Ovis aries: one gene and its partner. The protein of the gene in region 1 binds, or shares a complex with, the protein of each later gene. Links are inferred from orthologs where the notes say so. Each region holds a gene or a part of one and is shown in the gene's direction. Other genes may lie near its edges.

Evidence for each region. Proteins that work in one complex are often made in the same cells at the same time.
Region 2: DNTTIP1 (region 1) and SAP30 share a complex: the UniProt entries of both Homo sapiens proteins name them as parts of the histone deacetylase complex. The link is inferred for Ovis aries from reciprocal best matches to the Homo sapiens genes DNTTIP1 and SAP30.

The regions. Positions count from the first base shown.
Region 1 is NC_056066.1:74,538,084-74,542,186, forward strand, and holds the start of DNTTIP1 (deoxynucleotidyltransferase terminal-interacting protein 1), read left to right. Parts: upstream 1-1,294; 5' UTR 1,295-1,352; coding exon 1,353-1,457; intron 1,458-2,029; coding exon 2,030-2,100; intron 2,101-3,117; coding exon 3,118-3,214; intron 3,215-4,103. Other genes in the region: WFDC3 (WAP four-disulfide core domain protein 3), read right to left, coding at 703-759. UniProt on the Homo sapiens protein: Increases DNTT terminal deoxynucleotidyltransferase activity (in vitro). Also acts as a transcriptional regulator, binding to the consensus sequence 5'-GNTGCATG-3' following an AT-tract.
Region 2 is NC_056055.1:107,372,943-107,376,971, reverse strand, and holds the start of SAP30 (histone deacetylase complex subunit SAP30), read left to right. Parts: upstream 1-1,228; 5' UTR 1,229-1,540; coding exon 1,541-1,855; intron 1,856-3,439; coding exon 3,440-3,565; intron 3,566-4,029. UniProt on the Homo sapiens protein: Involved in the functional recruitment of the Sin3-histone deacetylase complex (HDAC) to a specific subset of N-CoR corepressor complexes. Capable of transcription repression by N-CoR.

The DNA.
Region 1 (4,103 bases):
GACATATTTTATTTCTCACAACTAACTTGCAAAAGTAAGAAAACTTATTCTTTTTTTAGAGGGAAAACTGCCCAAGGTCATTAAGCTAGTAAGTGGTGGCTTTTGGAATTTAATAACAGGAATGTCAGATAGCATTGTTTGAAGGTTTATTACTGCCAAGGGTCTAAGTACTTTACATAAGTTAGCTCACTTAATTCTCACTACAACCCTATGAGTTAAATACTATTATCCCCATTCTACAGATGGGGAAACTGCATCGCAGAAAGAAATGTAGGCCGCAGCTAATAAGTGGTAGAACAAAGGTGCGTGTGTGCATGCTCAGTTTCTTCGGTCATGTCTGACTTTTTGCAGCGTCTGAGTCTTTGTAACTCTATGGACTGTAGCCCACCAGGCTCCTCTGTCCATGGGATTCCCCGGGCAAGAATACCAGGAGTGGGTTGCCATTCCAGGGAATCTTCTGACCCAGGGATGGAACAGACGTCTCCTGCATCTCCTGTGTTCCAGGAGGATTCTTTGACCACTGAGCCACTTGGGAAGCCCAGAACAAAGGTAAGCAGTCCAATTCCATAGCCAGTGTTCTTTATCATCTTATCATAATGAATTTGAACTCAGATCTTTCTAACTGCAAAACTCATGCACCTTCTACTACCCCATATTATGACCTGGTAAAAGTAGGTCCAATTCTATTCATGGATGTCTTACCTCTAATGCAGAGCAAAAGGGGATCTGGGGAACTCCACAGCTGTGAAACCCCTGCATCCTCAACCTATCCCAGAATCAACCATCTGGGGAGAGAAGCCCAGGATCTTCATTAGATGCCTTCCGACGCCAAGAGGCAACCCCTGGGGTAAAGGCCTGGAGGGACCCCTGAGTGAGTGTTTAGGATGCCATGGGCCAGACGCCCCCACCTCTTGTTGGGTTTGGGGGTCCTCGCATGAGGCCCATCCAATTCTGGGAGCATATTAAAATCTAGTTTTCCAAAGACAACCGCAGACGCCCCCGTACCAAACGCCCCCCTCCTCTCCCCAGCTCCAGCCCATGGAAACCTGCTCCCTTCCTCCCGCCCCGCACTTCTCCACGGGCCTTGGCCCGGCCAGAGAACGACCCTTGACTGAACACCCCCAGTCACACCCGAAGCGAGGCCGCCCCCGAGAGGCAGAAAGGCCACCCGACACGCAACGCCTCTAAGCAGCTGCAACCGGACGAGAACCAGCGGCGCGGTTTCCCTGGCAACCCCACCGCTCGCCGCGTCGCGCTTCCGGAGCCTGAGGGCGGCGCGCTCCAATGACGTCACGGGGCCACTTTCCGGCCGGTGGCAGAGTCGGGCTGAAGTTGTGGGGGCCCGTGGCGCCATGGGGGCCACTGGCGACGTTGAGCAGCCGCGGGGACCCGGCGGGGCAGAGCGGGGTGGCCCCGAGCTGGGAGACGCGGGCGCAGCGGGGCAGCTGGTTCTCACGGTGAGGGCGCCCCCGGGGAGGCCCAGGCGGGGCCTGGGCTCGGGCCGGGCAGGGCCTCGGGCTCCCGGGACCCTGGCCCGCGGGGGAGAGAACGCGGCGGCTGATCTACCGAGGGGGTTGGCATTGTCACAGTCCGACGACCTGGCTTCAAATTCTGGTGCCGCCCTCCTAGCTAGGTGACGTGGGCCAGCCCTGTCAAGCCTCTCAGCCCCAGTTTTATCTTCGGGAAGATGGAGATGTCTAGCCCCTGCCTCTTAAAGTTGTCAGGGGGAGGGATAATAAATGCGGGTAAAGCGCCCAGCGCATCATCTGGCAGAGTAGACCCTCGGTAAACACTGGTCCCCTTCCTCCACCCTTTTATGAAAAGTAGGGTTGGGACTTTGGAGGCAGGAAACTTTGCTCTGTTCCTCTTCCCCTGCCGGGCCTTCCCCTGCACCGCCCTAGCCCAAGGTGGCAGAGACGGTGAAAGCACCCGAGAAGCAGGAATGTCTGAGGTGTAACTTAATGCCCACGCTCCACCTCCACGCCAGTGTCACGGACCTCGGTGACATCTGCTCCCTTGGTCCCCACAGAACCCTTGGAACATAATGATCAAGCACCGGCAAGTGCAGCGGAGGGGCCGCCGCTCACAGATGACCACAAGGTAAGGCTAGCCCTGGACGGGATGTCTCTCCAGGGCCCTGGCGTGGAAGGCAGCTTTGCGGTCCCCACTGCACAGGGCTAAGAAAGAGTTCATCAGCCAGTAGAAGGAGGAGATTCAGATTCAGTAACTCTCTGTGTGACCTTGAGCAAGTCATTTCCCCCAAACTCAAAACGAGGGAGAGGTGTGTTGATTAGACAATGCCCAAGATCCCTAACGTTCAATGGCTCTTGTATTTAAAGCTGCCAAAGAGGCAGAATAGCATGAAGATTATGAGAAACGTAAGCCTGATAGTCTCCATCTCAGGGAAGGGAGGGAGCGCAAGATGGGTCTTTGGGATGCTGGTTGTATATGTTTGTTGACCTGTATGTGTGTATGTATGCTAATTCGCTTCAACGGTGTCCAGGTCTTTGCAACCCTATGGACTGTAGCCCACCATGGGATTCTCCAGCCGAGAATACTGGAGTGGGGAGCCATGCCCTCCTCCAGGGGAATCTTCAGACCCAGGGATCGAACCCTCATCTCCTGCATCTCAGGCGCATTCTTTACATGTAGCACTACCTGGGAAGTCTTGACCTAAGTAGTGATTAAATGGATGTTCACTAAAACTTACAGTATATTAAGTATTATTCTGCTAAAACACTTTAAAAATAGTGCCCATTTCATAGAGTTATGAGTATGAAATGAAGTCCCACATCTATGTGGTTTGCACAGAACTTGGACTCATAGCTAGTTTTCAGTAAAAGTCATCTTTTTGTTTATTCGGGGGTGGTTTGTTTTTTTCTTTTTCTAGCCGCGCTACATGGCATGCAGGATCTTAGTTCCCTGACCAAGGATCAAACCAGTGCTTCCTATAGTGGAAGCATAGCGTTTTAACCACTGGACTGCCAGGGAAGTCCCAAAGCCATCTGTTATTGTTGTTGAAGGATCTTATGTCAGTAATTGGCTGGGCAGATTGGGAAAAGAAATGTTTGGAACATGCCTCCTGACTGTGGCTTCTTCCCCTCCCTCCCTCTGCAGTTTCACAGATCCTGCCATCTCCATGGACCTCCTCCGAGCTGTCCTGCAGCCCAGCATCAACGAGGAGATCCAGACAGTCTTCAACAAGTACATGAAGGTGAGAAGGATGCAGAGACAAAGAAAAAAAAATAGGAGTTAAGACTCATCGGTGATCCTTCCCTGCATCACAGTCTCCCTAGCTCTTTCTAGTACCTACACATGCCTAAAGTTTTCCAATTTGGAATCCCCACTCCAAGAATGTTTTTTCTCTTTGGGGGGTAATTGAATACCTCTTATTGTTACCAAAGCAGGTTTGGGTCTCCTCACCCATGTGTATGCTAAGTTGCTTCAGTCATGTCCAACTCTTTGTGACCCTATGGACTGTAGCCCGCCAGGCTCCTCTGTCCATGGGATTCTTCAGGCAAGAATACTGGACTGGGTTGCCACGTCCTTCTCCAGGGGATCTCCCTAACCCAGGGATCAAATCTGCATCTCTTAAGTCTCCTGCATTGGCAAGTGGGTTCTTTACCTGCAGCGCCACCTGGGAAGCCCAAGCAAGTTTGGGTCTGCTCACCCACACGCAGTAAAACCAATCTACTGACACCAGGTAGTGGTGAAGGAAAGTGCAACATTTACTGCTGGACAGCACCAAGCAAGGAGGCTGGGCACTAGTTTGTTTCTGTTATTGTTATTTAGTCACTAAGTCATGTCCGACTCTGCAACCCCATGGACTGTAGCCCACCAGGCGCCTCTGTCCATGGAATTTCCCAAGCAAGACCACTGGAGTGGGTTGCTGTTTCCTTCTCCATGGGATCTTCAAACCCTCATCTCCTGCATTGGCAGGTGGGTTCCTTACCACTGAGCCATCAGGGAAGCCCTCCGGGGACTAGACTAGGGCTTGAAACACCCAGACTCCCCAGTGGGTTTCAGCAAAGCATTTTAAAGACAACGTGAGGGAGGGGCATCCCAGGGTATGTGATCAGCTTGTGCACAATTCTCTGATTGGC
Region 2 (4,029 bases), on another chromosome or scaffold:
CACACAGACACGTACACAGACACGCGTGCGCGCGCTCACGGATCCGGAGCACCCCTTTCCCGGCGATCTCGGCCGAGCGCGCGCCTTCGGTCTCTGGGAGCTCGTGGCTGACCGGAACTCAGAGGGGTTCTGCTTTTTATTTTTCACGTGTGATTAGACAGGTTCCCGGTTCCTTCGAGGACAAAGTGGAGGTGCCCGGGCTGGAGGCGGAAAGCAGCCCCTTTAAGTCCACTCATCCGGAGCTCCACCTCAGGAGGCGGTAGACAAGAGTCCGCCCCGCAAGCCAGCGCGATCCTCGCACGGACAATGCTCGGATCTGGAGAGCCTCCAGTCCTCCTGCCGAAGGGGAGGTTCGGACGCACGTCACCCCTCCCTGCCCACCGCCCCCGCAGGCGTCCTGATGGACCATCTCGGGCGTCAGTCTGCAGAGCTGCTACCCAGACCCCATGGGGTTAGACATGGGGCCTCTGGGACCCCAAAACTGCCAGAGCCCCGTTCTTCTTGGTTTGGGTTTCCCACAAAAACGTTGTTTAGTTGCTAAGTCGTGTCTGACTCTTGCAACTCCATGGACTGTAGCCTGCCAGGCTCCTCTGTCCACGGGCTTCTCTAAGCAACAATACTGGAGTGGGTTGCCATTTCCTTCTCCAGGGGATCTTCCCCACCCAGGGGTCGAACCCATGTCTCCTGCATTTGGCAGGCGGATTCTTTACCACTGAGCCACGTGGGAAGCCCCACAAAAGACGTCTTTACATCAAAAATTTTTTCACAGATACAAAAAAGGCCCGAAACTTTTTTCCCCCACACCTTCCCTCCCCTCGTATCCCCTCCGTTCCCACCCTCGCACCCCCTCCCCTCCTACCCCCGCCTCCCGCCTTTTGTGCTTCGCTTCAGGAGTTAAGTGACCTCTTCGTCTAAAGTGCCAGCTCTGCAAAATCCAGGAGCTAAACACAGCTCAACTTCCCGGGAGCTACCAGAGCCAGAAAACATCACAAGCCCCCCGCCCCGCCCCCCACCACACGCCCCTGTTTTCTCAATGTATTACCGAAAAAAAAAAAAAATCCAGATCCGCCTCCGCGCGATGAATGCTGGGATAAGAAGTTCTCCTAAACCATGAAGCTCGATGTCAGACTGGAGCTTAGGTTGGCTCCCCAAAAGAGAACTACAATTCCCGTGGTGCCCTGCGGGCAGAGTGGAAGGGGCGGGACGGGCGAGGGCGCAATGTGCTTGCGCAGATCGAGGGCCGAAGGGAGGCGGGGGTATCGAGGTCCGACTGCTGAGGAGTCTCCATGTGACAGTGAGCAGCGTCCCAGCTCCAGGCGACGCCAGATTCCAGTTCCCGATCCCACGCCCCGTCCACTGATCCTGTGCCTGCAGACAGCAGCAGGCCGGGGCCTCGTGGTCTTGGCCGGAGGACCCTGGCTCAGAGTTAATAGTCTCCGCTAAGCAGGTGCGAGGGACCGCCGAGACCCCGGCATCTCCAGAGAGGCAGGCGGCGCGGAGAGCGAGGCTTCTGTCAGCGCGGCTCTGCGAGTGCGGGAACATGAACGGCTTCACTCCCGAGGACATGAGCCGCGGCGGGGACGCGGCCGCCGCTGTGGCCGCCGTGGCCGCCGCTTCTGCCGCCGCCGCGTCAGCCGGGAACGGGGCTGGGGCTGGCGCCGGGGCCGAGGTGCCGGGTGCAGGGGCGGTCTCGGCGGCGGGGCCGCCGGGAGCGGCAGGGCCGGGCCCCGGGCAGCTGTGCTGTCTGCGCGAGGACGGCGAGCGGTGCGGCCGGGCGGCGGGCAACGCCAGCTTCAGCAAGAGGATCCAGAAGAGCATCTCCCAGAAGAAGGTGAAGATCGAGTTGGATAAGAGCGTAAGTGACGGCGGTACGAATCTGCTCTGCCCGCCCCCCGGGGCGCTCGGGGAGAAGGGCAGACGCGTGCCGGTGGGGGTGCGGGAGCCCCAGACCTGGGTGCCTCGCGAGCCCGTTCCGGGGTCCCTAGTAGGAAGCAAACAACAAGGTGCTGCAACTCGGCCCGCCGTCCGCAGTAGACACTCTCGCGCCTCCCGGACCCGCTCCCGCGGCCCCTCCCGCGCAGGGCCTCCACTCCTGCTCTGAGGGGGTCAGTGGTGAAACAAAGGGGGCGGCAGCGCCGAGAACCCAGAGTAGCTGTCCTGCAACCCACGGCTCCTTCTGGAACCGAGGCACCTTCTTTGTTTTGCTGCCCGAGCGGGTAGCTTCCCCGGTCCAGGAATGGAGTGCAGCCAGGACCGGACGCTGCGGGCGACTAGGACCCTGTCCCGGGTCCCGCGGGTGCGGGGTGGGGGGCCCCCGGCTGCGAGCCGCGCGGCCGTGTCATCATCTAGGGGAACTGCTCGAGACGTGGGGAGCGGGCAGCCGCTGCGGGTTAGCCCTCGGTTTGGCAGCCATCAGGGTTTCTTTCTTCGTCCTTTCGCAGGTCTGTTCCTCTGACCATCTAGGAGGTTTTTAGAAACGACCGTTTCCACTTTTCCGAGCCCTGGGGAGCGGTAATAAATCACAAGATGTGAGAACCAGCACACGTCCTGCATCTTCTTAACTTGCACTTTAGCTCAAAGTTTAATTTGAAAACCTGTTAGCTCATTCCTCAATTTTTTTTTAAGAAGTAACTGCTGATGTATAAAACCCAGTATTTCAGAGGCTACCGTACAGCTCTCAGAACTATATAATTAACGTTTTTGGGAACTTTATTTGGGATACTTTCTGCCTATTCAGTTAGTTCCTCAGTTCTGTTTCCAGTAGTTGAAACTTTCCAGGTATACTTGAATCATTTCACATTGCTTTGGTTGGAAAAACTTATTATAAATAAATGCTTTTATTTAATACTCAGGAAAGTTCATAATTCAAATTTAAACTTAGTAAGGATGTGAAATCAATTTATTTGTCAAAAGTGGATGGTTTTGTGTCTGGATTATAATTTGAGTATTAAGTTAGATTAGGAAGCATTCACTATGGTATTAATATTATTAAATGCTCTTTTAAGTAAAGAAAATACTATCAAATAGCAAAATTGTGGCCAGCATCTTTTTGCCCTTGTTTAAAAAAGCGGCATAGCTGAACTAATCTAGTTCACCATCGCTGCAATTTGATGACAGAATCCAGAGCATAGGAATTTCTCATTCTCTGCTTCTCTCCCTTCCCTTACTGGCACTTCTCCCCACCCCACCCCCAGGCCTCTTTAACAATATTGCTAGACATGATATGTTTTAACTGGGTTCAGGACTTAAGAGTAGCAAGAAACATGCCTTGTTTTAACTGGGTTCAGGACTTAAGAGTAGCAAGAAACATGCGTTGTCTTAACAATGGCCTGTTACTAATGTTTATATTTTTAATAATTCACCGTAACTATGTATTTTACTAATACATAGACACATTTTCCTGTAATCTTAAGTTGTCTGTGAAACTTTTCTGTTCCAGGCAAGACATCTTTACATTTGTGATTATCATAAAAACTTAATTCAGAGCGTGCGAAACAGAAGAAAGAGAAAAGGGAGTGATGATGATGGAGGAGATTCACCTGTCCAAGATATTGATACTCCGGAGGTAGGTGAAAGGTTTGTAAGTTAAATGTAAAACTTCTGAAAGTTTTATTTAAAAAATATGAACAAATTCTAAAAATACTTGAAGCATTTGAAAACTCTAAAAATGAAAGCAAAATTAAATATAGCCAGTTAACATGCAGTTATGCAGTTTGACTTGTTATGGCTTCAATTGACCACTTTTTTTTTAATTTTAAAAACAATTCACTTATTTTTTAATTGAAGGATAATTATTTTACAGAATTTTGTTGTTTCCTGTCAAACGTCAACATGAATCAGCCATAGGTGTACATATGTCCCCTCCCTCTTGAACCTCCCTACTCAATTGACAACTCTTATAGTCCCCAGTCGTTAATAAGCATCCTCAAAAGATTGAACTGTTTAATGCATTTTTAGTTTTGATTATTTAAAAGCCTTTTAAAATAATGGAATTAAATTTTCACTGTGTTGAAGTTGAAATGTTTTTTA